2 linked regions of the Struthio camelus genome follow. The protein of the gene in region 1 binds, or shares a complex with, the protein of each later gene. Links are inferred from orthologs where the notes say so. Each region holds a gene or a part of one and is shown in the gene's direction. Other genes may lie near its edges. The genes, in order: DIS3L and EXOSC10.

What was found.
Region 2: DIS3L (region 1) and EXOSC10 share a complex: the UniProt entries of both Homo sapiens proteins name them as parts of the RNA exosome complex. The link is inferred for Struthio camelus from reciprocal best matches to the Homo sapiens genes DIS3L and EXOSC10.

What each region holds. Positions count from the first base shown.
Region 1 is NC_090953.1:3,225,870-3,241,818, reverse strand, and holds the start of DIS3L (DIS3-like exonuclease 1), read left to right. Parts: upstream 1-8,182; 5' UTR 8,183-8,300; coding exon 8,301-8,430; intron 8,431-8,497; exon of another isoform or gene 8,498-8,554; intron 8,555-11,069; coding exon 11,070-11,223; intron 11,224-12,052; coding exon 12,053-12,181; intron 12,182-13,258; coding exon 13,259-13,394; intron 13,395-14,353; coding exon 14,354-14,530; intron 14,531-15,155; coding exon 15,156-15,234; intron 15,235-15,949. UniProt on the Homo sapiens protein: Catalytic component of the RNA exosome complex which has 3'->5' exoribonuclease activity and participates in a multitude of cellular RNA processing and degradation events.
Region 2 is NC_090962.1:6,479,658-6,496,177, reverse strand, and holds the start of EXOSC10 (exosome complex component 10), read left to right. Parts: upstream 1-8,164; 5' UTR 8,165-8,187; coding exon 8,188-8,346; intron 8,347-8,725; coding exon 8,726-8,862; intron 8,863-9,325; coding exon 9,326-9,449; intron 9,450-9,944; coding exon 9,945-10,049; intron 10,050-10,466; coding exon 10,467-10,632; intron 10,633-11,437; coding exon 11,438-11,549; intron 11,550-11,837; coding exon 11,838-11,913; intron 11,914-12,069; coding exon 12,070-12,180; intron 12,181-12,613; coding exon 12,614-12,757; intron 12,758-13,074; coding exon 13,075-13,265; intron 13,266-13,985; coding exon 13,986-14,142; intron 14,143-14,757; coding exon 14,758-14,906; intron 14,907-15,221; coding exon 15,222-15,272; intron 15,273-16,033; coding exon 16,034-16,145; intron 16,146-16,520. Other genes in the region: serine/threonine-protein kinase mTOR, read left to right, coding at 55-177, 767-849, 2,373-2,445, 2,981-3,055, 3,605-3,740, 4,159-4,224, 4,933-5,013, 5,300-5,380 and 2 more. UniProt on the Homo sapiens protein: Catalytic component of the RNA exosome complex which has 3'->5' exoribonuclease activity and participates in a multitude of cellular RNA processing and degradation events.

The sequences.
Region 1 (15,949 bases):
CTTTGAGCAGAGGGGTTCGACTAGAGACCTCCTGAGGTCCCTCCCATCCTCAACTGCTCTATGATTCAGCTCAGGGAGAGCCAGAGACATAGTGAAGACAACAGAGGCAGAACGGGTGTGCGTTAAGCTGCAGAATCTGACAGCTTAGCCATGGTTGTTACCCCTATCACATTGCCACCACTGATTCAACAAAATCAGAGAGAGGATTTCATGCATTTTTGTGAAGTATTAATAGGAAGTACTTTGACAATTATATTAAATGTGTGGTATGTAGAGGACAGTTACTAATCATCTTCCTTTTACTTCACTTAGACCTTGTGAATGAAACAGTGGAAGAAAAAAGGCCCTTAAACACATATCCTGCTCCCATTCAAGCAAGCAAAGAAAAAGGTACAACTTAGTCCACAGAAGCATAATTTATGTAGAAAAGAAGCAGCATTTACAGCTTTTTGTTGATGATCCAAACTTCTCCCATCACCAGATGAGAATTTTTCCTACAAAGGCAGTTTCAGAGGGGTAATAGGAGTCCCTGAAGCTAGGATAAGCAAGACTAGTGGAAGTTCTCGCTGTGCTTTTAGCAGAGAATGATGATCTGAGCTGCTTCATTTTTATTCCTTTCCACCACATTTAAAATCAGTGGTTAGTTAGCATCACACTAAATAGCACTTTTAAAATGATTTTAAAAGAAGCAGTCACATGGTGAATAAACTCTCACCTAGCATCACTCAAACAGAACCGTATTAGCAATATCAAGAACAAATTTTGCATAATGACCGTAATATGAAGTCATAACAGAACTATCTCACATTTGTGATGAAAGCCTTAAGGACAACGACAAAGACACCTATTAATAAGACATTCAACAGCACAGTATACTCAGTAGAGTTGGGCAAATACTGCAGTCCGTTTCCCTTGGATATTCATTTGAATTTTTAAATGGGTTTCTTTTGACTGTTCACATCCTTTTTGTGCTCACTTTCCATGAATAGTAAATGAGCTTTAACAAGGGGAATAATCATGAAAAACACATTTTAAGCTTGAACATTTGCCAAATGAAAACCTCAAATTGCACAATCAACAGTGAGCAGTACATATGTCAGTGCATGAATCTTACACTAAATTCAAAATATTCACTCTTGGTCAGTTTCATGCTCTTGCAGTTAGGAAATACAAAAAATATCATTACATAGAGAACGGGACAGCATAGGTTAAAATATTACTATACACAACGAGATGCTCCTGAATTATTTGCAAGCCAAGAATTAGTTCCTCAAAATAATTATGAAAAAAGAATATTGCTCTTTTTCTTAAATATATATATTTAAACATATATATGCGTGTGCATGTGTATACATGTATGTGTATATGTAGATATATAAATTAAACCATTTACCCAGCTCTATGAGATAATATGTTTTGCTAGTGGATAGAATATTGTTATGGCTATAAATAAAACCTTATTCATACCCTTTTAGTGAATAAAATATGAAGCACCTAAGATGCACAGCTGCCAGTCAAAAATATAGTATGATATATTTTCTTTTAGTTTCAGTATACATCTCTGAGCTCTCAAGGAAAATCTTTTGTACCTCATTTGTACAGCAAATCATAACAGCAGCGTTCCACACAGGTCAACTGCTACCTCATTTAATTTCTCATGATAGGAGCCTAAGAGGAAATTAATCATTTGCACCCAGAAATTTCTCCTGGAGATTTTGAAAGCAGGGGCAAAAAAAGTCACCTTTGCAATCCTGCTTTCTATTTACTGCGGTATACAAATAAATAACCCTTAGAGCATTATATTCCACAGCACTGACTCCAAACCTGAGCTAGAAATACTATAGGGAACAACCCCATTTTGGTAGTGGGTGGAAAAGGTGATCTGTTAGGTCTTTCCATCTCTAACTGCGATTATCGCTTGACCCATATAGGAGTCACTACAGAGGCTAAGGCACCACAAAGCATCACTTCAGTGTAAGTGTTCCAATCAAATCAAACAGATTTTGGTGACAAAAAGACTGGTCAGGTGGACTTTACCACTGGGCTGTCTAAATTACTTTCATAATTTCTAACATAACAAATATACACATTATGAAAAAATAAAATCTGAAATCCACCAAATTATTGTCATCTACACATAAACTAAAATTCCTTACTAGGCTAAAGCTTAACATCCTATTGATGTTAGTATAAAGGCTATTTTTCTTTAAATAATATTTGAGATAGATACATTAAAAACTCTGGAATGAACTATGTAAAGATACAAAATGAGTGAAAAAATAGTATAAAACTTTGTGATTCAGTGATGTAACAAACTTTTGAACTACATCCAAGAAGAAAAAGGGGTGGTGGGAGACCATTACTAAATACATAGTATAGTAAAAATGAGGAATTGTGATAAATAAATTGCCTTTATGCTTCTAATAATTGTAAACATCATGTAGTTTCATACTCCTGCCATGCTTGAAGAGATCTCTAGGTGGGTTTTTTATTGTATTGCAGAACAACATTAGTTTCCAGTTTATTTTTGAGAAAAAATTGCTCTAGTTATCTTATATTATGTAGTTAAAGCAGTTTGTTCACAGAAGCTGAAAGGTTGCATTTTAGTCTGTTAGACATTATAATGGAAGCTGAAGTTGGCATTTCAACCCAAAACCAATTAAATAGTGACTCCCAGTGGTGATAACTGGTGTTGCAAACTGAAAACTAGAAAGGTGGTTCATGACTAACCAAAATACAGCAAGAAAATTTGAAGCATAACAATGCACAAGAGCAAAATCCTTTTCTTTTTACCGAAAGAAAAATAATATTAACATGTTCTTTATAATGCTATGCAAAATAATTTTAAAGCATGAATGGGATAATCCAGGTAATTATAGGCCTTGACAGTCAAACAGCAATCTCAGGTAAAATAACAAAAAGTCTAATTAATATGGGATTTGACAAAAATAACTAAAGAAGGGTGATATAACTAATATCAGTTGACATAGGATTACAGAAAATAGATCTTGTTAAACTAACCTGATATCTTTTTTGATGAGACTATGGGTTTTTAGGTGAGAGCAGTATTGTCACTATAATAGAATTCTGCTAGGAATGTCAAGCTTTTTGAAATCTAGCTACTTGTCGACACATAGACTGCTTTTCTGAAAGCTGCAAATCACCATGGCATATATTAAATTGGCTGAGAAAAGTTTAACTGATAGGTCTTACAATCAAACGTTATATTCAGATTTGCTACTAGGGTAACTGTGATTTCTTTCGCGTATTTTATGACTGGCTTGGTACACAAGGCAGAGGACAGACCACTGACCTAGATCACTTCATAAAGTCGGTTCAGGCAAATAATACATTTTTGAAAGAAGCAAAGGTAACGTTTATATATTGAGCAAAAAAAAATGTAAGCCATGCTTACATAGTATGGGACCCTGTCTAGGGTCTATGGGACCCCCTGACTCTTAAAAATATTTGAGCATATGATTGACAAATAACTGAATGTGAGCCATCAGCACAACACAAAAGAATTAATTTAATTCTGAGATGCATATACAGGAGAACAAGAAGTAGGAAGATAATACATAATATCTGTTTCAGGCCATAGTGCAGTTTCCAGTGCTAACATACACAATACAATGAGGATTTTCAGAAATGGGATTCTTTTCAGAAATAAGCCATGGAAACATTAAAGAGTTGCAAAATATGAAAAATGAAGGGAGTCCAATTTAAGTCATCAAAGAAACAGCAAAAGAGGTCATCAGCTGACACTGTAAAAGCATCCGAGGAAAAGAAATTTGATGAGAGAGCTTTCCAATCTTACAGACTTACTGAGAGGCAAAGACAAACGTTAGCAAATTCAGAGTAGGAATAAAGTGCATCTTTTCCAGCAATCAACATAATTAACCTTGGTACAGCTTCTTTAGTAGAAAGAGATTTCCAAATGAGCACATTGCTGATAAGCAGGATAATATAAGGCCACGTTCTACATCAGTTAAGCTGAGCTTCATTGACAAGCATACCCATTCTGACCTAACATAATAAAATTCTCTGATCTTTGGCATATTTTGTCACTCCTACTAACAAATGTAAGGAGATTTAATGTTTGAGAGATTCTCTTACAAATGAAGGCAAAGAATTTTACTTCAAAAATGCAACAATAAGAAATGGAGCCTGGATACCGATCTCGATTTTACGTTGCCTTTTGTTCCGAAAATAGCGAGTTTCTTTTATCAGTACTCCTTCGTTGCATAGTATGAAGGAGATTAAATCTTTAAAAGACAATAAATATTGGCATCCAGAGCATAATTGCGTGAGAACTGTACATTATACTTTTTATGATAGATTAGTGCAAGGAGCTGCATATTAATCCTGAGACCATTCTAGATATGGGCACTATTTTTACAGTATTTGGGTTTTACTGAACCAGCAATACAGGAGAAGGAACCTCCAAGAGAAAAAATAGCATTTATTCAGTTTTGTATGAGTTAAGAAGCAGATGCTGAACTTCAAAAACTGCTTTAAGAATGCTTCAAAATTTCTTTAAGAATGGAAGAATCAACTTTAAAGATATCCTGTAAGACAATCGAATCTTCCATCCTCTACCCTAGCGATAGCATTCTTGGGAAAAATATGGCCTCTTTCAAATGAAAATACAAGATTTCTATTGATAACTTGGCTGTGTGGATACCAGACTTAAATACTCTGTCTCCTGTTTTGTGTTACTTTCTTAAATCTTTTTTCTCAGAAAGCCTGTAATAGGGCCTTATAGTTTATGTAATCCCGTCTTGTGGTGGTCTGCTGCCGACTTGTTTATAGGCACAGTAGCAAACCAGAATATAACTTCCTATATACTTTTCTGTGCTTACTGACAGTCTTAAGCACAATTTTAGCTGATGAAGCCCAATTTAGCTATGCAGTCCACCTCCCAACACTGGGGAAGGGAGCAGCTAGTGGCCTCTAATAACAGGCTGTACAAAACTCAGGAAGAAGTTCCCTTGCAAGAATAAAACTCAGCAGTTGCTTTGCCAGGACAGAAGTAAGGTATATCATAAAGTATATCTGTGTGGTGCCAACCGACACATACTGGTAAGCAGGTGAGCTAGTATTACATTAAATGGTCAACAATGTATTACACCTATTGCTGAATACCTGCTTTTCGTTTTATCTTGCGCATGTTCCACTTCCACATATATATGTCTGACAACAACCTACGTGATATTTTACTTCTACATCAGTTGCTTAGGTTAATTGTTTCCAGCTATTTGTCAGATGAGTCAGGCTTCAAGTCATGAGAAATCTGAGCTAGAAGCTGATACTCCCCAATGACCTGAAAGTTTTCTTTGCCAAAATACTGAGCAACTTCTATCAAAAGGTACTATATTGAAATTCTGCATTGCACCTCCTGACCTTTTTATAAGTAGGGAGACTTCCCGAGAGGCTCATGCTTCCCAGCATAGGCAACAACAAACATGTAACTGAACTTTCTAGAGAGAGTTCTCTGACTCATTTAAAACACAAGCTTTTCTAGTGCTTACTAGCGTTATCCAAGGCAGTAACTCTGAAGTAAGGAGAATACTCTATGAAAATAAAGAAATATTTGTACTATTTTATTTTCAACTGTTCTACCACATTTTGTTTCTTGGACACTTAGAGAAGGAAAAACTTCAGGAGGAAATTTATGTCTCACTGCTTTGCAGCTGTGCTGCACTCCACTTTCATTTTTCAACATGCAATGAGATCTTACAATATTGCATTTTTAAACATTTTAGCAGCTTTAAAAAAAAAAAAAACAATTAAGGATGATCTTGTTATCCTGGAAGTTTTGGCTCTCCCTCTACCCTGCAGCTTCACCCTGCAGAAACTTCTTGCCACGTATAAAACCAATTCCCAGATGATCTATCTCAAATCTCATTAGGCCAAACTCAATTGTTAGATGAAGTGTAAGTAGCTCCTTTTGGCTTTACTGACTCAACTCTAAACTGACTTTTACTTGTAAGAGAATGCTCTTGGGTGGTGGTGGGGGGAAATGGTGAGAATTTTAAAAACTGTCCATTTTAGAAATAAGCATGCAGCTACTCAGTAGTATCAGCATTAAATGAACTTAGCCCAAAGGTCTGGCATTTCTCTCTGTGAAACAGTGAACAAATTAGAGCACTGCTCTCAGTCACTTTCATTTAATTAGCCTTCATTTTATTACAGTCACTGAAGGACACTGAGTAGGCATGCAGGCCTGCGTTCTTCACTGTGTTACAGCAATCAGCAGCTACAGTGTTTCAAACTGAATTCAGTGACTTTTCTCTCAAATGTTATATTTTTCATTCCTTTTCTGTCACTACCGTTTATTTCATCTTTGTTCATACTGTAGAAGAGCTCTGTCATTTTGGTCTCCACCCCCCCTCCTCTCCTGCTTACATAATATGTCTAAAATCATCCTGACTAAGAAAAACAAGTCTACATTTTGGTCGTCTCTCACCAAGTTGTACTACCTCCTCCTCCTCATATGTTTGCGGACTTGGCTTCTGAAAATCAATTTTCTACAGATAGATGGCACTTCCATTTCCTGCCACCAACTGATTACTTAAAAATATTAGTCACTGAAGATACGCGTTTTATAAAATATGTGAAAAATAAGCAATAGAACAAACAGGAACATAGAGTGAAACACTGCCTTGGTTCTTTCCCACTGTCCCTTGGTTCTTTCTTCTCATAAGGACAAATACTAGATAGCTTACACCATGTATGTATTTCAAGTGAGGTTATGATAGATGCAATTCTGAGAAAGTATTACTGCTTTTTTATATTTAGAATAATCATCGCCAATAGGTTACACCAACATCATTGCAGCCTCATATGCAGAGCGCTGACTCAGACTCAGAAACAATGAGTTGTATTCATCACCCTGCCACTGCTTTTCCGTTTGATCATGGGCAAGCACTTCATCTTTCAGGGCCTCAGTGTTCCCATTTGTAAAATATAAAGGGCAATAATGGTCTCTACAGTAAAATTATTTGACTTGGGGCTTTTGTGCACTCCTCACTCACCCTAGCCACATTCCCCATCTTAGCACCCCTGGTGCTGGGAGGTGACCAAGCGAAACCAGATGATCTGAGAAACGGATCTGGGGCTGTGCCTGGAATAGGCTATGAAAGACCATGACGGTTCACATGAGCATTTATGCAGGACTACAGTTTAGATACAGCAAGACAGCCTCTTCTTATTTTTCCTAGACACAGAAACAGAAAAATTCACCATGTATCTTCACCACCACCACCCTCAGGCCACACAATCCACCCTAACAGAGGGCAAATTCTTCCCATTTGCCTTCCAAGGGACATCCCAGCCACTTTTTCAGTCTTTCCTCCACAGGCCCAAACCCTCTCAGTTTTACCTCACCGAGAGGAGAGCTATCCTCCCTGCTCACCCAGGCGCACAACCTGGGGCTCCAACGAACCCTGGTCCTCGCCAGGCTCCCCCTCAGCGCTGCTCCTAGCTCCGCCTCGAGGCTCGTCACCTCCCCTCAGCCCCCAGCTTGCCGCTGGCCCCTCACAGCTGCCCCGCTGCCCTCGGCTCGCTCCCGCCTCTCCCCTCAGAGCCGCCCCGCTGCCCTCGGCTCGCTCCCGCCTCTCCCCTCAGAGCCGCCCCGATGCCCTCGGCTCGCTCCCGCCTCTCCCCTCAGCGTCGCCTCTGCCCTCACCACGACCCCGCTGCCTCGGCTCGCTCCCGCCTCTCCCCTCAGCACCACCCCGCTGCCCTCGGCTCGCTCCCGCCTCTCCCCTCAGAGCCGCCCCGATGCCCTCGGCTCGCTCCCGCCTCTCCCCTCAGCGTCGCCTCTGCCCTCACCACGACCCCGCTGCCTCGGCTCGCTCCCGCCTCTCCCCTCAGAGCCGCCCCGCTGCCCTCGGCTCGCTCCCGCCTCTCCCCTCAGAGCCGCCCCGCTGCCCTCGGCTCGCTCCCGCCTCTCCCCTCAGAGCCGCCCCGCTGCCCTCGGCTCGCTCCCGCCTCTCCCCTCAGAGCCGCCCCGCTGCCCTCGGCTCGCTCCCGCCTCTCCCCTCAGAGCCGCCCCGCTGCCCTCGGCTCGTTCCCGCCTCTCCCGTCAGCACCGCCCCGTTCCCTCAGCCCGCTCCCACCTCGCCCCCGCCAGCTCCGCCGCCCCGCTCGCTCTCCTGCCCGCCCTCCTGCTCCCCGCCCCTCGCTCAGGGGGAGGCCCTGCCTCTCACGGTCGCACCGCCCCCCGCGCCATGCGCAGCGGCCGCGGAGCGCCGGGCCTGGCCTAGCGGCGGCGGCCGCCGCTTCCCGCCGCCGCGATGCAACGCACGGAGAAAGTGCTGCAGCTGCGGGGCCAGCAGGGCCGCTCGGTGCGCGTCGTGCGGGAGCACTACGTGCGCCCCGACGTGCCGTGCCGCAGCGCGCTGTGCCGCGCCGCCTGCCCGCGCGGTGAGGGGGCTGCGGGGGGGAGCGGCCGCCGGGGCTGCGCGGGGCGGAGGCGGCGGGAGGAGGTGGCAGGGCGGCCGGGAGCCGTTTGCCTCGGCGTGGAAAGCGGCCGGGGCCGGGCGCGGAGGTTGGTGCGTGCGCTGAAGCGATCCCCGGGCCGGGCGGGCCGGCGGCGCGGCCTGACAGGACCCGGCGGGAGAGGGCGCGGAGAAGCGGAGCAAGGGGCAGCGAGTAACGGGCGTGAGAAGAGCAGGACGAGAGAGTGGAGGACGTGTTGTAGTGAGGCAGGGGCGAGGGAGGAGAGGAGAGGGGGTGAGGCGCGGGGTTCGGGAGGCGGGTGGCGCCGGCCGGCAGAGAACGGGAGCGCTCATGGCACATCTCGCCCCGCCGCCGCCCCAGGGCGGCCTGTCCACGGTGCTGAGCACCGCCACATAGCGGCGGGGGAAATCAGGCAGCGCCAAGTCAGGGGTATAGCGAAAATACACCCTCAGAGCAAAATTCGCACGAAAATGAGGTGCTAAGAAAAAAGGAGAGCTGACAAGGGAAGTTGATTGTTGCAGGATTTGGCTGTAAACAGTTATTTTACAGACGCTGGTAAAACTCTAAAGGACCATGCAAGTTTAACGGGGGGAACACTCATGTTTTTGTGCTTCCTTTTTTAAAGCTCTTTCAAAAATGGATTAATTCCTGCAGGGCGTTGAGTTCCTGTGTAGCTTGAACTAAATTCTCTACGTATTTGTTGAGTATTCTTACAACGGGGCCAAGTAGGTGTCATTGAAACTTGTGTAATTCTGCGTCAGCAGTTATGTTGGTTCAATAATTAAGTTTAATTGTCCCTGCTATACCTGGGCATTTCAGACATGGGAAGACTGCCCGCTTCTGTGATTTCTAGGTTTCATGTTGTTTTTACATAGTGCAGCGCTCTTATGTACGTTATAGATCACCGTGTGATTGTTCGTTGATGTTTCTGGGTTTTTTTGTTGTTAAATAACACAATTTATTTGGTGCAAGAAAATAAATGACAACCAACACAACGTATAACACGTTTAAATCAACCAAATTATCTGCTGGCCTAAAAGAAAAGGCTAAGAATTTTAACTGTTTTTCTTCTGAACTGTAGTTGGCATAGATGTTGTCACCTCTGTTTTGTTTTTAGATGCCTGTTGTGATGGAGGGCAGCAGGTAGAGTAGTATATTACTTCTATCTAAGATGTCAGGACAAGGTTATTGTTACTGCTCTGTAATGGGTCTGGGAGCTGTTGAGATGTGTCATGTATTAATTCCTTTCCTTATGAATTCCCTAAGGATAAGTTACAGGCAAATACCAGACCAAATTCTTGCCTCTCTCTCCATGCCTAACTTCTGGACTTAAATGTAAATTGTGCCGTAATCAGTGTCAGAGTATGTCCCTTTGTAATTATTCTAGGTAACTCAGAAGTATGGTGAACATATGTTTTCACTCCTGAGTCTATATACTGTGCCGAGCAAACATATTTCACGCACTGTGGGAGCCTGCTTGCATAAATCACATCCACAGATATTTTTAATGGCATGCTATGCCTACTTAAAGTTATTCTGATCTAGATGTGTATGTTAGGCAAGGATAGCTTAATGTGAGCAGATTACATACATCTTCAAGTGACATTTCGCTCCTAATCCTCTTCTGAATTAGTAATAAAAATTAACTTTGTTATATGCGTCCTGCCATCGTCCCTTATATACCTTCAGTGTGAGATACAGCCGCATGATGCTGTGCAGAATTGTGCCCACTGGATTCTCACTTCTAGGGATCAGAGTCAATAGACAGACTGACTTGTGTCAGCTTCTAAGAAATATATGAAAATAACCTGATTTGTCAGGGTCTATAAAATTTGAATGTAATCTGCCAGCACTATTTTAAGTCCAGCAGTTCAGTGTTTGTAATAACACAAGGAATAAATAGACATGGAGAGAAAATGCAGTGGAGATCCCAAGGAAAAAAAAAGTTTACTGAGTAATCTCTGAAATATCAAAAGCAATTAATTAATTTTGGGGTATGTTTTAAAAGTTCTTATGTGATGGGTTTGTTTTGAGATTTTGATGGGATATGATTAAGGGATGGAGTCTCTTTAGAGAGAATTAACTATGATGGTAATAATTAGATTTGAGAACCTCTTCTCTTTATAATAGCATTGCTTTTCTCCATGTGTACCCTCACGTATAACCTTTTATGTACAGATACAGAAAAGAGCCTGCTGTAAGTGGAGAGTGTTGAATGGTGAAGATAATTGCACAAAAAGATTTGCTGTGGCAGATGTGGTCTCTCTTTTTATGTGGAAGTAGAGGAAACTGGACTGTTACCTGAACTTTTCAAGTGACATCCTTTTTGTAATGAAACCAGATTTTTTTTCACTCATTTAGATAGTATTTACTCAAAATTTTTTGCTCAGTGGATAATAGAAGGGCTCAGTCACAAATTGTAGGAATTGTACCGTAGCAGACGTACCATTTAATTGAACCGTGAAAATTCTGTTCCTCAGAAGAATAGATATATATACCTTTTGAAGATCCACAACTAGGATTGCCTCGCATTTGACAGTATTTTTAAAAAAACAATATTGCAATTGAAAGTTTAAACCTTTACACTTTGAATTACATTTTAGATGGCAAATTGTTGTCAGATGATGTGACTCATTATGTTGTCCCTGACTGGAAGGTGGTTCAAGATTACCTTGAGATTCTTGAGTTTCCAGAGCTGAAAGGTATTATTTTCATGCAAACAGCGTGTCAAGCTGTGCAACATCAAAAAGGCCGCAGGTACTTACCCTATAATAACTTATTGTTATTTTAGATTGAAGTAAAGATGTTAAGTTTGTAAAATGTGTATTTAAGCACAGTATGCTTAATTTGTTTTTAAGTCTTTCAAGTGTTTTGACATAATTTTATGAAAAGGAAAGAGCTATGATCCCTTGGAATACATAAGCATCAATACCTGTTCTATTTTCACGTGATAGGAACAATATTAAACCTATACTATTATTACTTAATCAGATAACTTGTGGAAGGAATTAAGGAGACTTTGCAGCAACAATGTGAATTTCATATGCCAAAACCAGATTATGCTTCTGTTTTTGTTCCTGCTGTATTAAAGAATGAACACATTTCTTCGAGGAGCAATTAATAATATGCTTATATATCTTACCAGAAGTTAACCTGTGTATTGCCATACCATATAAAAGTGCAGTTTTTTAGGATCAAGGTCTTATATTTTTAAGGCACCAACACCTTTTAAGAAATAGCTTTTGTCCCAGAAGTGACAGAATGAGTTCCTGAACATTTATGGCTTTTTGTACTATGAATGGTCTCACTGGAAAAGGATTCATGTGTATTGTATTACAAATATGGTGTAAAATCTGAAGAATTCATTACGGAAGTTAAAAAAGCCTACTTACAGATTACTTTTTAGGTTTTATCATCAATGGTGGAATTTAAGAATAAATACATTTGTTTATGAATGACAGGATTTAGTCTTACCCTGTTAGAATTCTTTAGTTTTCCGTGGGTTTTTCAGCTGTATTTTTAACTGGAGTTAACACAGCATTATCAAAAGAAATCACAAGGCTGTATTCTTTTTTTCATTTTCCAGACAGTACAACAAACTACGAAATCTAGTAAAGGATGCCCGTCATGATTGTATTGTGTTTGCTAATGAATTCCATCAACATTCCTATCTGCCAAGAGAGAAGGGAGAATCCATGGAGAAATGGCAGACCAGGTTTGTTTTAACTAATGTAGTTTTGCACGAGAGAGTATTGTGACGTTGTGTCTAGAAATGTTAGTAGGCATTGGATAGGTAAGAGTTGGTACTCTTGCTCTAATTAGCTCTAGAATAGTTCATGATAATTGAAAGTCTAGATTGTCCTTTTATGATTAAGAATGCATCAACATCGTTTTCTTAGAAAAATACACAAGAATGTAATTAATTAAACACAAGGATAAAAATACATTGGACCAATTTAAAGATAGACAGGCGTTTTAAAGAATGCTTTAACATAATAAATAGCTAAAACACACTTTAATTGAAGTGTTAGCTGTAATGTCCGTTAGCCTACAAACAACACAGCACTGGACTCCTGGCAGTTCCAGCTTGCTTTTCACAAACTTTCACTCGAGGAACACTGTATTATGTTGCAGCTGGGACACAGGTGAAGGGCTACTAAGATGATTAAGGGACTGGAGCATCTCTCCTATGAGGAAAGGCTGCGAGAGCTGGGACTGTTCAGCCTGGAGAAGAGAAGACTGAAAGGGAATCTAATCAATGTGTATAAGTTTCTGAAGGGAAAGTGTCAAGGGGATGGGGCCAGACTCTTCTCAGTGGTGCCCAGCGAAAGGATGAGAGGCAACAGGCAGAAACTGAAACACAGGAAGTTCCATCTGAACCTGAGGAAAAACTTCTTGACTGTGCGGGTGACTGAGCACTGGACCAGGTTGCCCAGAGAGGCTGTGGAATCTCCTTCCCTGGAGATATTCAAAACCCGTCTGGACACATTCATGGGTAATGTGCTCTAGAGGACCCTGCTTGAGCAGGGGGGTTGGACTAGATGATCTCCAGAGGTCCCTTCCAACCTCAGTCATTCTGTGGTTCTGTGTATTGGGGAGGAAACACTATTTTTGCGCTATTCTCTCAGTGCTGATGTAAGGCACATAAAATGTCTTGAAAATAAAAGATTTGCTGTATATATCTTAAATGTATGCGTAATAAAAAAAAATCACTTTTATACAAAGCCTGGAAATGCCTGCCGAGTAGCAAACGGGATATGCCAGAAATCTTGTTCAAACTTTGCTTTTCTAGGAGTATTTACAATGCAACAGTCTGGTATTATAATCACTGCTTGGGTCAGATGCCAGTTGTTATGGTAACAGAAGATGAAGATGCTATCAGGCAGTACGGAAATGAAACGGAAGGAGTGTTTGTGATTTCCTTCAAGGTAACGTATCAGAAGAATAGAAGAAGGTTTCCTTTATGCTGCATCAAAATGGCAAAGCAAGTACATTAAACCTAATGTATAGTGCAAGTCATTCTGAAGTTTACATGTAAAAAATACTGCAGTGGTAACTCATGACTTCATTTATCAAAGAAAGCAAAGACGTCAATGCTGGGAATGTCATCAAAATCAGTGGCAGTGAGTAAAACAGAACTGAGAAGGAAAACAGCAGCTCCAAGGATGGAGGTCATCTTTCTTAGGATCCCTTTTCATCATTTTCCATGTTTTTGAAGAATTTAGTGCTGATGAACAATAATCAGTTACCTCAGCCAGCTGTCTAAATCTGTAGTGCAGGTCCATTCACAGCAGTAACGGACCTGCACTACAGCAGTAAATATCCATTGTATTATTCTGCCCAGTGTACTTTAGCCTTGACTATTTAGGATACTCTGATGTGCAAGAAGATTATTATTCTTCATTTGGTTGTTGCTCTCTGATACTGCTGGTATTCGGCAGGGTATGTAGATAGGAGATTTACTTTTAGCTGTGAAAGGATGTTTTCAAATCATGAACACGTGTAAGAAAAACCAAACCCCAAAAGATTCACCTTAAAGTTATATATGCAAACATGATGCTGGTGGTTTTTTTTTTTTTTGAATTTGAAGCTGTACAGAATCGTGTAAAAACTAAAAAGAATAATGGGTGGCTTGGATGGGGTAATTAGTGGTAAAAGTCTGTGAATCTCTAGTCTAAGATAGTTTCTTAACAGTAATGTTCTCTTTGTTGTATTCAGCCAAAGTGTTGGGTTGAATCTGGAACAACTGTGTAGTGTTTAGAACAGACACATGGTTACCACTCAGAAATGCTATTTGAGTATAGCACATGACAGCTTTCCAAATGAAGCATTATTAAAAGAACAGAGACACCTCAAACTCATTGCCTGTTTATGTATGTGCATACAGAATTACTTGGATAACTTTTGGCCTGACTTAAAGGCTGCCCATGAGCTCTTCGACTCAATAATTCAAGCTCGCCGTGAACGGGAGAGTGAAAGTCAAGAAAATAATGGAAAAGAGTATCCTGAGCACTTACCCATGGAAATAATAGAGGCTGGGGTCAAATCTGGAAGATACATACAGGTAACTTGTTATTTAGAGATCATGTGCGCTCTTGTGCACGGTGCACGTGGATGTGAACAGTGCGCTCTTAGGGTAGGCCCCTTTATTTCTCTGAATTAAACTGATTAGATGAAGAAATATCAATCTAGCGGGAAGAGGGAAAAAAAGATATTTTGAGAAAGAAACCAAAAAAGCCAGACTAAGAGTTTGGAGAAGAGGGAATGTAAAGAAGTTGACTATTGAAGCTAGCTAAGGAATAATCAGCAAAGATACTTATTCCCATTCTTTTCCTCAAATAGCAAGTTGCTCAGGTGATAGTCCCTAGGATTCTCAAAATATTTTTTTTGCTTACTTCCCTTTGTGAGCATGCATTTTTTTTTCCTCTGGAGAACAAAAAATGAGAATTTGTTATTGATGATCTTCAGTTTGCTGTGGATTTTTCTTCAGGTTGATATGTGATGTAGCGGTAGATTGAGAAACTAGGTATGATATTAGGCCTGTCATCAAAGTTCATACATACCTACGTATCAATAAAAACTACTCATTTATTAAAAATATGTTTCAACCTCAAAATTTTGTACTTTAAAATTGGCACTTTTGAGGTGCGGCTGTCTCATTTTTTTATCGTTTTATTACTTTCTTTTAGGGTATCTTAAATGTCAATAAGCATCGAGCACAGTTGGAAGCTTTTGTTCGACTTCAGGGAGTTGGCAGCAAAGAAACAGGTGAAAAGACAATGAGATGATGTACCCAGTGATTTTTTGGGGCAGAATTCCATGTTCCATGCCAACCTACTGAGGAAAAAGTAAACTAATACACTGTCTGTGCTTACCTACAGCCCTGTGGCTGTATCAGCTGTTCAGCTATTAAACAAGAAGGTGAAAACTGAGATACTGCAATGCTGAGGTTTTCTTCATGGACCGGAAAGGATGTTGAAGATTATCCCACAGGGCCTCCTGATAAAACAGTACTCTCGATTTCCACCTTCCCCTCTCTTAATACCTTTGGCCATTAACATTTTGGATTCATCTGTCCTACTAATGGGTTTCTCTAGACCTTTTCTCAAGTTGAATACTGATGCAAATTGTTATCTTTGTGCTCTACTCTAACTTCAGATGTCTACTTGTGCGGTTGAAATAAGTATTTGCATAGATGTTGGCAGGAGCAGGAAGCTGTGAACATAATATGCAAATTATCTTTGGGATCAGATCGGAGCACGAGTATCCTCTTTCTGGTATGAGTTAGTAATAAACGGCTCTGCAGGAACAGTGCATTATGCTTTCACAGCTATATTCTCCTACCTTTCAGTCATGAAAATTTTTCAAATGTTCTGTGGCAGGCTCTGCAGCCAAACCGTTTTTTTTTTTTTTAAAACTTGTTTAATCTTTTAGCCTGCCCAGAATCATGTGGCAGTGGTTTCCAAAATTTAATTGTGTGTTG
Region 2 (16,520 bases), on another chromosome or scaffold:
AACCAGGGATCATAGGAGGATTTTTAGCTGCTGAGTTTCACTTCTCAATTATAGATGGCTCCAGATTATGACCACCTGACTTTGATGCAGAAGGTAGAAGTATTTGAACATGCTGTCAATAACACAGCTGGTGATGACCTTGCCAAACTACTGTGGTTGAAAAGTCCAAGCTCAGAGGTGAGTTCAGCACATGTAAAGGCTTATGTTTGGCAATCAGCATAACATGCAACTGCCCTCTCTGCAGAATGTGGGAGAGGTGGGTGAATTGCACATCTTAAACTCCAAATTAATCCCTGAAGCACGTGTATCCACCAAGGGGCATTTTAGAGCGCAGTCACACTGGCTGCCAGAGTCCGGTCCACAGCACAAGATTATTGTGCATGGGGAGACATAAACAGGAGCCTGAAATATGTTTGCGACTATGGGTGTGCTGGGCTATTGATATCAGTCAACATAATACAGTGGAAGGAAGAGTGCATCTGAAATCGCTCCCCTTTAATGGCTTAACGCATCTAATTTTAGGGTTGTTTGAACCCCCTCAGGCTATGGCATTATTGACCTAAGTATATAATAGTTTGGCTTCATGCAAAACCCAACTGGTTATTGTATAAATTAAAATATAAACTGAAGCATGAAACGTCTATCTAGCTTTGTTGCAGGTACCCTTCTGAAGTTTTGGGAATTGTTCTTAAGAAACAGAAATAGGTTAAGCAAGCCAACTCCTTGCCACCCTCTTTACTTTTTTCTATTTTGTCTCTGCTTGTAGGTGTGGTTTGACAGAAGAACTAATTACACTCGCTCACTAGCTGTGATGTCAATGGTTGGGTACATTTTGGGCCTTGGGGATAGGTAAGTGGAATTGCGGGAATTTCTTTTAAACGCTAGCAGAGACTGTGTATACCTATCAATTTAATCCCTGGCTCTGTTCTTATGCTAACAGCTTCTATCGTGGATGTAGCTGAGTTGTAATGATAGCATCTTCCAGGACCTAACCGTGCCACCATGATATTCGGCAGTGCGGGAATGAGGTGTAGGATTTGCGTATCTTGAGTACAAATAAGTTTCTTCCGTTTTGGGAGGAATATACACAAAATTAGGTCAAGAGCCACAAGTTTGAATTCAGGCCTTTCTCCCACTCACAGAATGGGAAATTGTTCTCCATCCTTTCTGTGAAACGGAAGTAGTGTTGACTCTTGCAGCCAGTCTGTAGGCTTCTGTGTGCTTCTGACTCTTGCAGCCAGTCTGTAGGTTTCTGTGTGCTTCATGCTTATGAGATTGCAGTTTTTCGCAGTGTCTGTCAGGACTGTACACGTATCTCCCGCTTCTTGGAGGAGGAAAAAATCACTGTTATCAAGCAGCACTTCTTATCCTCTGAAGTAGCAAAAAGAAATCCAGCAAGTATTGAGGGTCAGGTGTCTCTTGGTTCTTCCTCCTAATGGGCTGAATAATACTGTTTTCCACACATTTTTGCCTGATGGATATTTATTCTGTGAGGCAGGAACAACTAGTGCTATGTTTGTTGACAGCAATTGTCACAGATGCATGAAATCCCCAAGCGTAGCGCCTAAAGACCTCTCTAGATGTATAACTGAAAACAAATGGAAGTTAACATGGGTTTTGAATACTGCTTAACACGAAGCCTTTTCTAATCTGCTATGCAGACATGTTCTGGAGGGAAGTAGGCATCATAAATGAGATTGGGTGAATAATGAAAAAAAAAAAAGATAAAATGAGTAAGCTATTTGATCTTACTATGTGGTTTACTGTAAAAAGGGGACATCATAATTTCCAAAATACTTTTGAAGACCTCTCAAATGTTTTTGTAATAGCAGCTTTTTATTCCTGACTTTAAAGGTTTTTATATCGCAAGTATAAACCTTTGAAAGTTGGATTAAATCAGAATTGGACCAAGGCAGCATGAATAACAGCATCTTGGTTTCTCCTAGTCTAGATTGGTTCTCTTCTGTTCTGGTAATAATCCAATTTGCATTACTTTATCTGTAGCATAATTCACTCTTTTTCTCTACTGAAAAAATGTTTTAAAAGTAAAAGAAGTAGAAACATTTATCCTAACTGAAAAAGAAATGTTCAAATCCAAGGCATGTACTGATGGCTCTGGTCCAATTAATTGTCTGTCTTCCAAGGCGAGATCATCTCTGGTAATCCTGAGAGGTAATTACAAAGATAATGTGATAGATGCACTGTCAGGAAGCTGTTCTGTTCATCTGGAGATTGAAGATCTCAGACAGGCATGCTGCCACTGGTTGTTCTCGTTCGTGAAGATAAATATCAGTTCAGACTAGAGCTGTGATTCAATTTACGTTTTTCTAATGATCTGTCACTCTGGCTTTTCTCCTACTCCTTCATCAAAGACACCCTTCCAATCTGATGTTGGACAGATTGAGTGGAAAGATCCTACATATCGACTTTGGGGACTGTTTTGAGGTAAATTTTTGTATTTGGAAGTATATTTCTGCAATATTTCACATCATCTGGTGCAACAGAAATTAATCTACAAGCCAGGGCAAGCTGACCTTGGAGTGTGATCCTGAGCAAGCCTTTTGGCTCTCTTTTGGGCTTCACTTTGCCCACAGGCAAAAGAAATTAATATGTACTTTATCTCGGGTGGGGGGGGGGAAGGGGTGTCATGCGGATTATCTAACTACTCTGGGGCAAGCAAAGAAGTGCTAACATCACTTTTCCAATACAATTTCTTCGAGCAATCTAAGCTGCTGATAGCAGCCTGTGTTACATGACACTAGCAGCATGAGCATACAATTGAGTTTTCCTTGTGTAATCAAGTCAGTTATCCAGCTTCTCCTAAAAACTGCTGGAAACTGAGGAACGTTAATCTAGGACATATTACATATTTCATATTTGTAATTACAACCTTTAAGGTCGTAGCAAAGAAAACCACAGTGCTTATTAACTCTTAAATAATAAGTTAGCTATTAATAATTGTCCACCGTTGTGTGTGTAGGTTGCAATGACAAGAGAGAAGTTCCCGGAGAAGATTCCGTTTCGGTTAACAAGGATGCTGACAAATGCTATGGAGGTTAAGTATCCCCTCTCTGATACGAAGAGAATTGTTCCCTGGGAAAATGGCACTGATTTCTCCCTTTTTCCTGTACTTTCTTGTTGTGGTTGGATCTCTCCGAGACTCCTGCAAGAAGCAGAGGTCTTAATATTTCAGCTTCATTTTCTGTAAGTTAAAATATCTGCTGCCATCTTTACAGTACGTTACTGTGGAAAGCAACTTCTCACTGATGCAAAAAACCAAAAATTTTTCCAATTTTCTCGGGTCTTCCATAGTTTCCTCATTTCAAATAGCTCTTTGTGTCAACCAAACACCACGAATAGCGTGGTACTTTACAGTGATCAATTCGATGTCACATGCACGTTACTCAAATCAGTACATCAATAAATCAGAAGGAAGGAGCCTCTTAAATTGTATGAACCTCTATCTTGTTCTCGTAATGAATAGAGTCCAGTGGAAGCGGGTTCCAGTTCAAAGCACAAGCCTTTTCCTGCTCCCTGAATGTTAGGGTTGGAGTTGCAAAGTGAAAGAAGCAGCGTGATTGATTCACTTCTTTCTCTTCTGAAGGTGACGGGCCTAGATGGCAATTACAGAATCACCTGTCACACTGTGATGGAAGTCCTGCGCGAACATAAGGACAGTGTCATGGCTGTGCTAGAAGCCTTTGTATACGATCCCTTATTGAACTGGAGGCTGATGGACAGTAAGTCATTCGGATGAAACAACGATAGCAGGAGAGTCATCAGTCAGATTAAAATAGATTCATGTAAGAAATCCAAAGGCCTGAAATCGAATGTCTGTTGAAGGTCAGTCCATTTAAACGGTAGATTTGCAAGCAATGATTGTGCACACACCCAGTTTTAGGAATCATAATGTGAAGTTACCACAGTGGTTAAAACCCTTTTGCCCTTAAATACAGACATTGAACTGAAGCGACAAATCACATCATGTGGATTGCTTTAGTATTAGCTGTCGTCTTGAGATGAAAAGCTATTTTCAGGTAAAATACAATTTGGAAAAAGAAAAAGATGATCAAGCCTGTATTGTTTGTGGATAGACAAATTTACTGTGAAATACTGAGCCTCCAGTTCAAACTTTTCAACTCTCTTATTTTCTTGCAGCAAATACAAAAGGCAATAAGCGCTCACGAACGAGAACAGACTCCTACTCAGCTAGTCAGTCAGTAGGTGAGTATAAAAGATGATGCATTTCATGAATGTTTGCGTTTTTTTTAACAGTGCATAAAACTGGTAGAAGTATTTTCAGTTCTTTTTCTCCTCAAAAGTAGAGAGAGAAGCAGCTTATTGTTACTTGGTTTTAAGAGTGTGTATAACTGAGTAAAATAAATAGTGTTGAGTTCAGTACTTCAGCTCAAAAAGCAAATGCTGCTTTACAGTTAGACTAACACCCTTCCAGAGCGCGCGCAAACTGGTGTAATCCACAGAATAATTTGGTGTGTGCTAGTTATTTACTGAGCTACTAAATATTAGTATGCAAAACCTGGTGAGTTGTCATCTGAATGAATGTTAAGAGCATTACATTGAATCTTAACAGCTGTTTGCTATTGGACTGAAGAACAGTGAGAGTTCAGTAAATAGACATACTTACTTGACTGCTATTGTAGGTTAACTGTGCGTCTTTTCAAAATATCTTTCAATTACGCTTTTACACAAAACATTCCTGAAGGTTGGATCGGGCCTTTCAGTGTGTTAGCACAAAAAAAAGTTTACTCCCATAGTACAGTTCCATTAGTGATAAAGATATGCGGTATACTTTGTGACGGTTGAATATGCTTTTCAAAGGAGCAGATGAACAGCTCTGTTAATGTTAACAAAGGAATGGTAACTTTACCTGCCTTTCCGTTTCACCTTTATGTTTCTGTGTTTTTTCAATAGAAATGTTGGACAGCGTGGAACTGGGTGAGACAGCCCACAAGAAAACTGGGACCACAGTGCCTGAATCCATCCATTCCTTCAGTAAGTTTCTTTGAATCGTGTTGGTTTTACACTGATGCAGAAGTTATTTTTAGATAGAAAACTTCATCTTGATGTAGAAACAACTACCTGAAATCAGTTCCTTGTCAGCGTAAATAAGAAATATAGTACCTGTTCCTCCGCTCCAAAAAAAGGTGACAGAAAACATACTAGTATTTGGGACTGTTGGTTCATAGAATGGCAGTTGAGAAGGGCAGATGTAATAGCAGGAAAAACGTTGTTGTTGTTCAAATGAAGTCTTAATTCTTTTTTTATTTTGATCTTTTAGTAGGCGACGGTCTAGTGAAGCCAGAAGCTCTGAATAAGAAAGCAATTCAGATTATCAACAGAGTTCGAGATAAACTCACTGGTGAGCATATTTTTATGTAAAATTTGAGACGGTTCGCCACTAACTTTTAGCATTTGGATTGTGTATTAATCCTTTAATTAAAAATATTCTGAATAACTGGAGGAGGGCGTTTCCTACCTTTATCTAAAAGCCTCCTGTGCCTGTGCTGGAATTTGGGTACAAATGAGCCTGATCTATAAAATACGGAGCTGACTGCATTTAAACAGACTCGTGTTTTAAATGTCTTAGCTTGTTGACAGAGGTCAAATTTCTCCTTTGGCCAGGCTTTGTAGTTTGCAGTGTTCAGATGTGAAATCTTACACTCCTAAGGGTTCATAAGAAACTTTCCCCCACCTGCTCATATAATGTACTTGAAGCTATTAGGACCAGGACTCCAGTTACTGGAAAATTATCTGTTATTGGAGAACGCAAATATTTTCTTATCCACTGTTTGAAGGAGAAGTTAAAGGAAGAAGCCACGACAAGGGAAAAAGTATGAATTTCTGGACTCTAATCAGCTTTAGAAGTTCTCGATCTTTGAAAATTTTGCATCTTACACACACTATAAGGGGACGGTAGTAGAAGTCCAATCAGTCCTTAACTTGCCACCCAAAAGCAAGTTCTGTTGCTTGACCTGTAACTTCCTTTTCTGTTTTTATTTCCTTTAATCTTAAAGGTCGAGACTTCTCTCATGATGAAACTCTTGATGTACCCACACAAGTAGAATTGCTCATTAAGCAAGCTACTTCTCATGAGAATCTCTGCCAGTGCTACATTGGATGGTGAGTTTGTCATTGAGTTAACCTTGCAAAATTCTGGAATGAATGATCTGAGCAGGGAGCAGCTAAGGAAAATGTCACTTCTTGTGTACTGAGTTACATATATGAGCCTTACCCGATGTTGCATCTGCTCTGGTAGATTTTGCAGGCCTGTAGCAGGGCCCTCTGCTGTAAGCAAGTAAGTTGGTATAGGTGATGGGGGGGATTTTTGAACCTTTAAATGTGCGTCCAAACGTCAGCCCAAATGTTTTAAGTGTTTGCAATAAGGTGTTCTAGGTGCGTCTCCATCACTGATTTTGGTTACAGTGAAGAACCTCGTGTTCTAAAGTAAACATAGAAGTATGTGTCGTTTTGAGGCTTAGCTTGAGGGATGATGTTTAAGGAAACAGGTCTTTGTAGTGTTTTAAACATGAGTTGCGTTAACTGGAAAGAAGCATGGGAGTCACCAGTCAACTTTCCTCTGGTAAATATTTTAAAAGGTGCTTTGGCGGTATGGAATTTCAGTCCTTCTCAGCATTGTCTTTGTTAAACTATATGCGAGACAACACTACTACAATATCTTTGTTTTCTTTAGGTGTCCTTTCTGGTAGCAGAAGATTCCAAAGTATCCACAGCCTTTTATTCTGGAGGCTTTTGCACTCCAATCTTACTCTTCTACAAACACAAACAGAAAGTTGGACTGAAATACAGCCTTTGTCAAATATTTTGAACTGTAAATGAAAAGAGTTATTGTATATTAAAAGTTGGTTTAAGCCAATTTATAGCTGCTGTTTGAAAAACACAAGCTGTCTAAAACACAACACTTGTTTTGGGTTTCCAGGACAGTGAAGACTGATTGTACCACAGATGTCTATGGTTCCACTTGGTCTTTGGGGAACTGGTGATCCATTGAAAATAACTATATACGGGTTTTGACTGACTTTGCAATGTAACTAAATTGAGTCATTTGCGGATTAATTATTGCCCTGATCAATCCTGTTGGCGTGGCTGCAGAGAACTCAGTGCACTCGTGCAGCAGGGTTCGCTTAGGTTTGGAGTTGAGCTGGAAAACTGGGGCGAAAGCGAGGAGAAGGAGAGTTGCACCATCCTGTTACCTTGTTTTCCAATTTGATTCTTGCCCCCAAATTGAAAATTATTTATCGGCTTATTACATTAGCAGAGGAGTCATGTTTCAGACTAGATTGGGATATCGGAGCAAATCCAAGAGCTGAAGACCTCGAGCCAAGCGCAGTAAGGTGCCTGCCTCTATATGGACTGATCAGTGGCAAAGCGGATGCAGGGTATCACTGAAATACCACTTGGGAGCTTCCCACAGGGTCTGGATTAAAAAGCAGTATTGGGAAATAACTAGGGAAAAGTTAATAAGCAGCCTAAGAGGCAGAAGTGGGGAGGACTGGTAATAACTTGAAACAGAAAATAATGGTTATTAAACATGAGGGTGAGGATAAAGTTATGATTTATGAATAAAACATATTAAAAACAAAATGCACAAAATACAACAAAGAGTAGCCATGTTTAGATGCCATGTTGTATTTGAATATTTTTGTGCCAATAAATTACACCAAAATGTTAAAAATGTCGATGGTCGTCTTGTTTATTCCTAAGCACTTCTTAGGAAGAGACAGGGCTGCGTTCAACTTCGCAGCAGGCGTAAGCCTTTAGTCGAGGATTAAGGTATCTGAAAAGCTTTCCCGTTGCTAGAGCTGTTGATTGTCTTTTTCTGCACCAGTCCAGGTTGTTGGCTATCTTTCGGAGGCAGAGTTACCAGGAGTGAGTGAGATGCCCGCGCGGTAAGAAAGGAGCTTGCTCGGGCTCAGGGTCTCGTGGCCACGGGCGATAGCCGGGGCCGGGCCGCGCTGCCCGGCGGTTCCCACGGGCGGCGGTTCCCACGGGCGGCGGTTCCCACGGGCGGCGCTGGCCGCGCCCCTCCGCCAGAGGGCGGTGCGCTCTCTGCCTCTGCGCATGCGCCGCCACCGCCTCCCCCCCCCCGCCCTCTCGGCGCCGCGCTCTCGCGAGAGCGGCCGGGCGTCGCGTGGCTGCGGCAGCAACATGGCGGCCGCCGTCGAGGAGGGGAGCGGCAGCGCGGCGACGAGGAGCCCCGCGGCGGAGGAGAGGCGCGATGAGGCGGCGGGGCGGCCCGCGGAGCCGGCGGGGGGCAGCGCGGCCGCGGGGCTGCCCGGCTTCGGCGACGCCGACGCCTTCGTCAAGGTGCGCTGCGGGTGGGGGGGGGGAGGGAGCGGAGCGGGCGCCGCGCACTACCGCTCCCGGCGTGCCCTGCGCGCGGCAGCGGGAGGGAGCGGCGGCGGCGGCGGCCGGGGCATGCTGGGAGTTGTAGTTCCTTTGGGGCTGCCGGGCTCGGGCCCCCTGGCCCCGCGAAACCTGCATAGTTATAGTTTTCCATAGTGTACGTAGACTCAACGACTCTGAATTTACGCGTTTCAAAAAGCCTGGTGACGTTATACGTTAGAATTAACTGTTGGTGTTGAGGCAGGCTAGGCAGAGCGCACCTGCGTTAAACACTAGCCTGGGTAAAGGGAGAAGAAGTCTGGAGAAGAATACTAACGATGACCACATCTCTCTTGCCCAGTATGCGCTTGGCACAGTGGTAGCTGCTACTAAGGCGTCTAATGGGCTTCCTCAGCCTGGCGACGAGTACGACTTCTACCGAAGCTTCCCTGGATTCCGGGCGTACTGTGAAACGCAAGGCGACAGGCTCCTCCACTGGTAAGGGTGCACCAGCTTCTCTGTGCCGTTGCTGATAGCTTCTAGTCCACAGCGGAGACTAGCACCCTGTGTTGGAAACTGCAGAGTAGCTGTAGGTAAAGAGGTATTTTATTCCACGTACCTAGCTTTTAGCTGCTTTTCTAGCACTTCACAGTTTAAGCAGCGAGCTTAAAAAGGACGTTTCATAATGTTTTGGGTGAAGACCCGTGGAATAGAGGCGTATATAAAGGGTATATTTATTTCTCTGTTGAGAAAGTTATGAGATTTCTAAGGAATTCGTACTACAGTTAGTACTATACGGGGGCTTATTATATTTATTGCTCACACAATGTTATCTGTAGGTATTACGTTTGGTTTATTTTCAAAATTCTGCAACGTAGAAACTTTAAGAGAGTTGGATGGGAGTTTAGTGTTCATCGCGCCTGCCTTGAGATCACTAATCGCTGTGCTATTCTCTTGGGAGCATGAGCAAGGTGATGCAATACCATGGCTGCCGCAGCCACATCAAAGATCGCAAAAAAGTGACAGAGCTGGAAGATAAATTTGATATGCTGGTTGACTCTAACGACGTCATTCTTGAAAGAGTGGTAAGCAAATTATTCCTGCATGCTGCTGTTATCAGTTATTCAACTGCCGTGAGTTTTGTTCATTACAAGAATTTCAGTGACAATACCGCTACCGTTATGTTTAATGCTTTTTCAGTCTTTCCTTTATGTTTAAAAATGTTGCCACGTGCTAGACTAGTGTATCGTTTTGTGTTCAAAGCTGAGCAGTTAAGTCGTGAGCCCAAAGGAGAGGAAGGTAACATGTGACCTGTGAGGAAAGTAAATGCAGTTTGGATCGAGAATCTTATAACCTAAGAACAACTCTCTAAAGTTGTAGAGCTGCTTCTCTGAGGAAACTCTTCCTAACCCCTGTCATTCCCATACCGTCCTCACGCTTGGCTGTCTCACGTTGTACAGAAGTGAGAGGGAAATGGTGGTGGAGGCCTCTGTGTGTTTTTCTTTATTCAGTCTGACTAGAACGGCTGAGTACAGTGACTTAACAGATGCTTGGTTTTCAACTCCTTTTCTGGAATTTAGGGTATTTTATTGGATGAAGCAGCAGGAGTGAACAAAAACCAGCAGCCTGTCCTCCCTGCTGGGTTGCAGCTCCCACAGACAATCATTTCCAGCTGGAACCGCAAGGTGAGGCCTCTGTGCTCAGTTTGCTGTGTTATCTTGAACGTTTTTCCCAGCACTGACGCTACGGTGTTTCCTGTGGAGTTCAGTAGTCAAGCGTTCCCTCAGATTTTGTAGCTGTGTGAACTCCTTTTTTTTCCTCTTTATTCAAATTTAATTCTAGATTCTGTGTGCTTTGACTTGTCATTTCACTTTCATGCACACAACAGCCATCCGCTTACTCTTTTGTATGAGTTCAGGAGCCTGAACTTGAGCACTGCCGTTCTCGAGTACTGGACTCTTACTGCAAAAGAATGGCTCATTTTTAAGTTTGACGTATAATTTTATTGCTCTGAGTATTGAGTCGGTCTGAGTAAAGGAGACTCTGAACAGCTGTAAGTGATACGAATTTTACTTGTGTATTTTTGTTTTGCTTTTTAACAGGGAGGAGAATCCCACAAGAGAACAAAATCTGAAACCTTCCGATTGCTTCATGCTAAGAACATCTCTCGACCGCAGCTTAAGTTTCGGGAAAAGATCGACAATTCCAACACACCCTTTGTACCTAAACTTTTTATCAAGCCAAACGCTCTGAAACCTTTGCCAGAAGGTAAGAGATTTATTTTTTTTTACTGGGTGAATTATTGAGAACGTTTGACATAAATCTGTCCTCACAATCCGGAATAGAAATCACGGGATGTAAGAACAAGCAGCAGCAGCAGAAGACTGACCGTTTAGGTGTAGTAAGCTGTGTGACTCTAGTAATAGTTTAAGTACATGTGGTGTAAGGGTTGGTCAGCATACAGTATCTTCTCGCTGATATGCAGGAAGTAGTCTGTTCCGAACAGGTATTCTGCTACTCTTCTCTGCCACCATTGGACATCCATCACCAGAGTCCCTCTGACACTAGCAGTAGTGCTGACTAGTCTATAAGTCCGGCTGGCTTTACAGATGGGCTGTAATTTTTCTAATGAGCATGTGTGTACGGGGGCAGGCAAATGGTTAGACCTAGCTTGGCTTTGGCTGCTTTATCAAAGCTACCAGCAAGACATTCCCGTCTTGGCAGCTTGTCTTTCTGCCACTGGTGATTCATTTTTAGTCTGCACTGGTGCAGTGGTATTTTAGATACCGGGGAATGATAGATTTCTCTGAAACCAGAGCAGTCTCCTTCCAAGCTTTTGCGCAAAATCACCTTGCATCTTGATTAACAACATACTGATAATACTTAGAATCAAGTTGTCACGTGAGTCAGAAATCTGGCTGACAGCAGAAGGGCCGCAGGTCTGACTTGTTAAGATTTTTTGATACTTAAATGATTGTAATAGGTTCCTGTGGTGGGTGGAGGGGAGAGAATAATGGGCTGAGAACTCGTTATGTGTGGGACCCAGTCCAGTTGTTCCATATTGGTCATTCAGCCCTCACAAAAAGCGGACGGGACCGAAAGGAGCGCCCTGAAGACTTGGATGTACCAGCTGCTTTGGCAGACTTCATCCACCAGCAGAGGACACAGCAAACTGAACAGGACATGTAAGAAATTAAGCTGACAGCCAGGTGCTTGGAGTGCCCTTGGTGAACATGCACTTGTGTGGTCCCTTTGCGCTGATGGCGTTCATGTGTAGCAGCTCTGCATGTGTTTGTGTCTGTACACTGCGTTATGTGTGACTTTAGGCATCTGTAGTTGTTTTAAACCCACGCTTAACCGGAGGCAAAATTTCTAGTCAGTATGGAAACTGCCATAGCTCTCAAAGTCTGTGGGCTCTGGCTGTGTGTAGTTGACTGAAACTTAGTGTGTGCCTGTTTTCCTAATTTCTGCAGGTTTGCTCACCCTTACCAGTATGAACTGGAGCATTTTTCTCCACCGGATGGAGTTCTCAAGAAACCAGATCTCCAGGTTGGTGCCCACACTAATTTAATAGCAGATGCAGTAAGTTTACAGCAGGCCCTACTTGACAAGTTTCAGAGTTAGGGTGTGCGTGAGGGGAGGGGATTGACTTAGGGCATGAGTTTTGGGGAAGGCAGTACCGATACTAATAATTTGCTTTGCCAGATGTACAGGCCCATCAAAGAAACGCCCTGCCATTTTGTCAGCACACTGGATGAGCTGGTAGAACTGAATGAAAAGCTTATGAACTGTAAAGAATTTGCCCTGGACTTAGAGGTAATCCATTTACCTTTTCTGTTTAGAAGTTACGTATGTGTTGTTAGCATCTAGGAGACTATTGTATTCTTCTACTGTTTCGTACTCTTTTCTCGTTCTCCTCCTTTTTCCAACATACTTTCTTACATGGATTTAAATCATGACACTGACCTACCGGATGTTACCTAGAAGGCTGAATCAAACTATGGGTAATATTGTAAGTTTTCCTATTGTATGAACTACTACACAATTCACACTGAATTTATTCTTTTTTAAATCCCTCTCCTGATGCTTTCTGTCACGTTAGTGACTGCACAAGAAAACTTGCTCACCTGGTTGTCTTTTGCTTCAAGAAGCCCTCTCTTACTTTTTTTCCTTCATCTAGGTGCTCTTTGTTTTATAAAATTACTTCTGTAATGGATCCTGGATAACATCTCTTTTCTGCCTTTTTCAGCACCATTCCTACAGGAGCTTCCTGGGCTTGACATGTCTCATGCAGATTTCCACCCGAACAGAAGACTTCATTATTGATACACTGGAGTTGCGCAGTGACATGCACCTTCTCAATGAGACCTTCACAGACCCTGGAATTGTGAAGGTCAGCTGCCAAATTGACCATAATTCCCACATTTTTTTAGTTTAAGCTTTATTGTTGTCTAAAGCATACTCGTGTGATCTGTTTTGGTCTCTTGGCCCGCTTTCGTTAGAGTTCGTTCATGTGCCTCTTTCATTAATGCGTATGGGGAGTTACTTCCCAAGTGCAATCATTTGGTAGTTCTGTATATAACAATGAGGACTAGAGAGGAAAGAAATCCGTTTCTAGAAACAGATTGAAGCCACAGTGCTGCAGGCCTGGAGTTAAAAATGTTCTCTGCGTCACTGATGCTCTCTGATATATTTGTGTTGCTTTGCAAGGTCCTTCATGGTGCTGATTCAGATGTGGAATGGCTGCAAAAAGACTTTGGTCTGTACTTGGTGAACATGTTTGATACTCACCAAGCTGCTCGTCTCCTCAACCTTGGCAAGCACTCTTTGGACCACTTGCTAAAGCTATATTGCAATGTGGATGCTGACAAGCAGTACCAGCTGGCTGACTGGCGGATACGGTAAAAACTGACTCCTTAAATGGTCTGGAGCCTTTTGGTAGCATTTAGCCTTGTTTGTACGGTTAGAGCAAGAGTATCTTTCTGGTTGCAAGCCCCGTAGTTACAGGTTGGTCTTGAAGTGAATGAGCGCAGCATTTACTTGTCTCTGCGTTTATTACTGTTATGCTTCCCCGTGTTTCTTTAGGAACTGACTTTTCTTGGGAAGAGCAGGGGGTGTAGATCAGTGCAAAGCTCCTGGCAGCTCACTTAACCAGTAGGAACAGTGTTTAATCACTGCAGTATTATGGAGAAAGTCAGTATTTGGCTATGACGGCGTCGCCACGAAACCATTTGGTCACTTACACTAGATAGAGTAGTATGCTGATTAGAACAATGAGCTTGGGTCTGAGGATGGACGCTGCAGACGGCAGAAATCTCAGGTGCAGTTTATGTGGGCTCTCTATAGGAGGAGGAGCTGTGACAATAGCATAGGAGGCGCTTCCACCATCTGATTATTAGCGACACAGCAATCCTGCTGTCTCACATGCGTACGGGATGTCATCCGAATAGAGGGTGTCGCTGCTGTTGCCAAACAAAATCCTTCTAGAAGGAAACAAACATTTTTGGATTAGTTCTTAGTGGGGTTTAGATGCCGTTTGCCCTAATGTGTCCTGCAGAAGGAAAATGCTGGTATGGCAGGGCAGCTGAAACGTATTGCTGTAATTGTGGTGGTTCTTCTAGCCCTTTGCCAGAAGAAATGATTCAGTATGCCCGCGATGACACTCACTACTTGCTCTACGTCTACGATAAAGTGAGGGAGGCACTGTGGGAGAGAGGGAACGAACAACCCACTCAACTGCAGATTGTGTGGCAACGCAGCAGGGACATCTGTCTGAAGGTAAAGCTTCATCTGGTTGGATTATCTGGATCAGAGTATGGGCTCGCTGGGACAGAAAGTCTTTTGACATTTCATGTGTGTTGCATAAGCACACTTTTTTCTATTTGTGTGTCTGAAAACGGTTTTACAAACTCATTTGAGTGCAGTCACTTTTTTCACTAGCTGAAATCCTTGGGTTCAGATGCCCTCTTGCTGTTTTTTGAATGCTGTTGCTCCTTGGCCTGTTGACGCTTTCAGGTGTACGTTTCTGCGGACAGATGTTACATTTCCAGTTCTACTGGACATTCAAAGCTTCACTGCAGTTGCATCATGAGACAAATACATTGTGCCCTGTGGAAAATCATGCGGGTGCCGTCTAATGCAGTAAAGCTGAAAGATACTGTGCGTCTCAGACTGCTCCTGAAGTTGCTGTGGGGTTTTTTCCCCTCCACACGGACGAGATGCACGTTTTTCAGGGGAGAGCCCTACCAACAGTGTAGGGTGAAAGCTCCAAGACGTAGTACGCTAGAGTTTGTTCACTGCCCTTATGTCTGTGTGAGATGCTGCCTGTTTCAATGAAGCAAGGCAACCCAGAAAGCACGACACGGATACTAATCTGCCTTTTTTCCTGTCCAGAAATACATCAAGCCCCTCTTCTCAGACGAGTCCTACCTTGAGCTGTACAGAAGGCAGAAAAAACACCTCAACACACAGCAGCTAGCAGCATTTAGGTTGCTGTTTGCATGGAGGGACAAGATGGCGCGTCAAGAGGATGAGAGCACAGGGTAGGTGGCGTTTGTTACAGACAGTGGCTTAATACTTAAATAAGCCTCTTGAACTGTTGTCCTCCCCTGGGGAGGAACCACTCTGTAACCTGGAATATGTACTGTTCTACCTCAGGCTGCTTTTTGCGCTTTTGAACAGAAGTCCCGTATGTTAGCAGCACATTCTTACGGGTTTCTAGATCAGCCCTGCTTAATTTCTTCTTAACTGATTTCGTCACTTCAGACTTTTTAACCGGGGCAAACTAGTATGCTTTAAAGGTATTTTTAAAAGTTTTTGACGATCTGTTACGTTTTCACAACCTCTTTGTGTTGTAGATATGTGCTACCAAATCACATGCTGCTGAAGATAGCAGAGGAGTTGCCCAAGTAAGTTTGTTCACCCTTGAGTAGTCGCATGTGATTTTTTAATGTCCAACAAAGAGTTTCCTAGTATATCCTCACTTCTGCATTTGGTACGTTCCTTCCAGCTGTCAGTCGAGCTTTTCTCTAGAGTTCTTCAGTTTGCAAGAGAAATAAATTGCACTGTTCCTTCAGAAGCCTCTCAACTTCTTCTGGGATACATATCTCTGTGATTTTATTCCCCTGATAAAACGCATGCCTTTGCACTGCTCTGTCACACATGCCCCCTGAGATTCCTACAGCACTACAAAGCCAGAGTGGGCTGATTCCCCTCTAAACATTGATTTGTTTGTTCAGTTCTTAAAGTGAGTTGAGTAGGAGCAGATTGCTTTCAGCAAACAACTTTGTACGTTTTCTCAAACACTTTGCACTCATCATCTAACAGCTATACCTAAGAATAGTAAAAATGCATCCTTAAATGTAAGTCCGCTGCTGGGCTCTGCTTCTGCAGGTGAGTAGCGAAGAAGGAATGAAATGAAGACGGGACAGACAGACCGCAGAAAAGATGAGTGAGAGGACAGCTGAGTTAATGGTTTCTCCTTATCTGTACCAACTCAACAGAGAAGAATTTTTCATCACGGAGAATAAACAGTGTCGGACTGATCTGTCTGTCCTTATTTTGTCACAGTTAGGCCTGTGGTTATGACTGGCTGCACGTCCTTTGAATGCAAATGCTTAACACATCGTCCGTAAAAATAGCACAGTGAATTTTTCTCATCTCTTTTTAGAGAACCCCAGGGCATCGTTGCTTGCTGTAATCCAGTCCCACCGCTAGTTCGCCAGCAGATTAATGAATTGCATCTTCTCATTCAGCAGGCCCGAGAGATGCCCCTTCTCAAGGTAGGAGTGGCTCTCAGCACACAAGAGACTTATCACTTGCTTTCCATAAGCCAGGTACTGGAGCCACATGGTGACCTGTGATGATGCTGAAGTTTGCTGTTTGAACGCTGTGAATATACAGTGTTCTGTAGGGGAGTAGAAAGACGCGTAGCAACTTCTTCTTGCCTGTTGTTTGATGTCTGCTGGCTTACGTGCAGCGTAGTTCCCTGGAGAACTAAAGCAGTGAAAGAGCAGGCTCCGTTTGCCCGGGGTGCAGTTGTCTGTACAGAGGCATATCCTTATGTTATATATCATGTGTGAGGAAGGACTGGACCCTGTGGAATTTGTTGGCTCTGTGACTGGGTTCATAAACCTTTTTCAACTATAGTGAAGCAA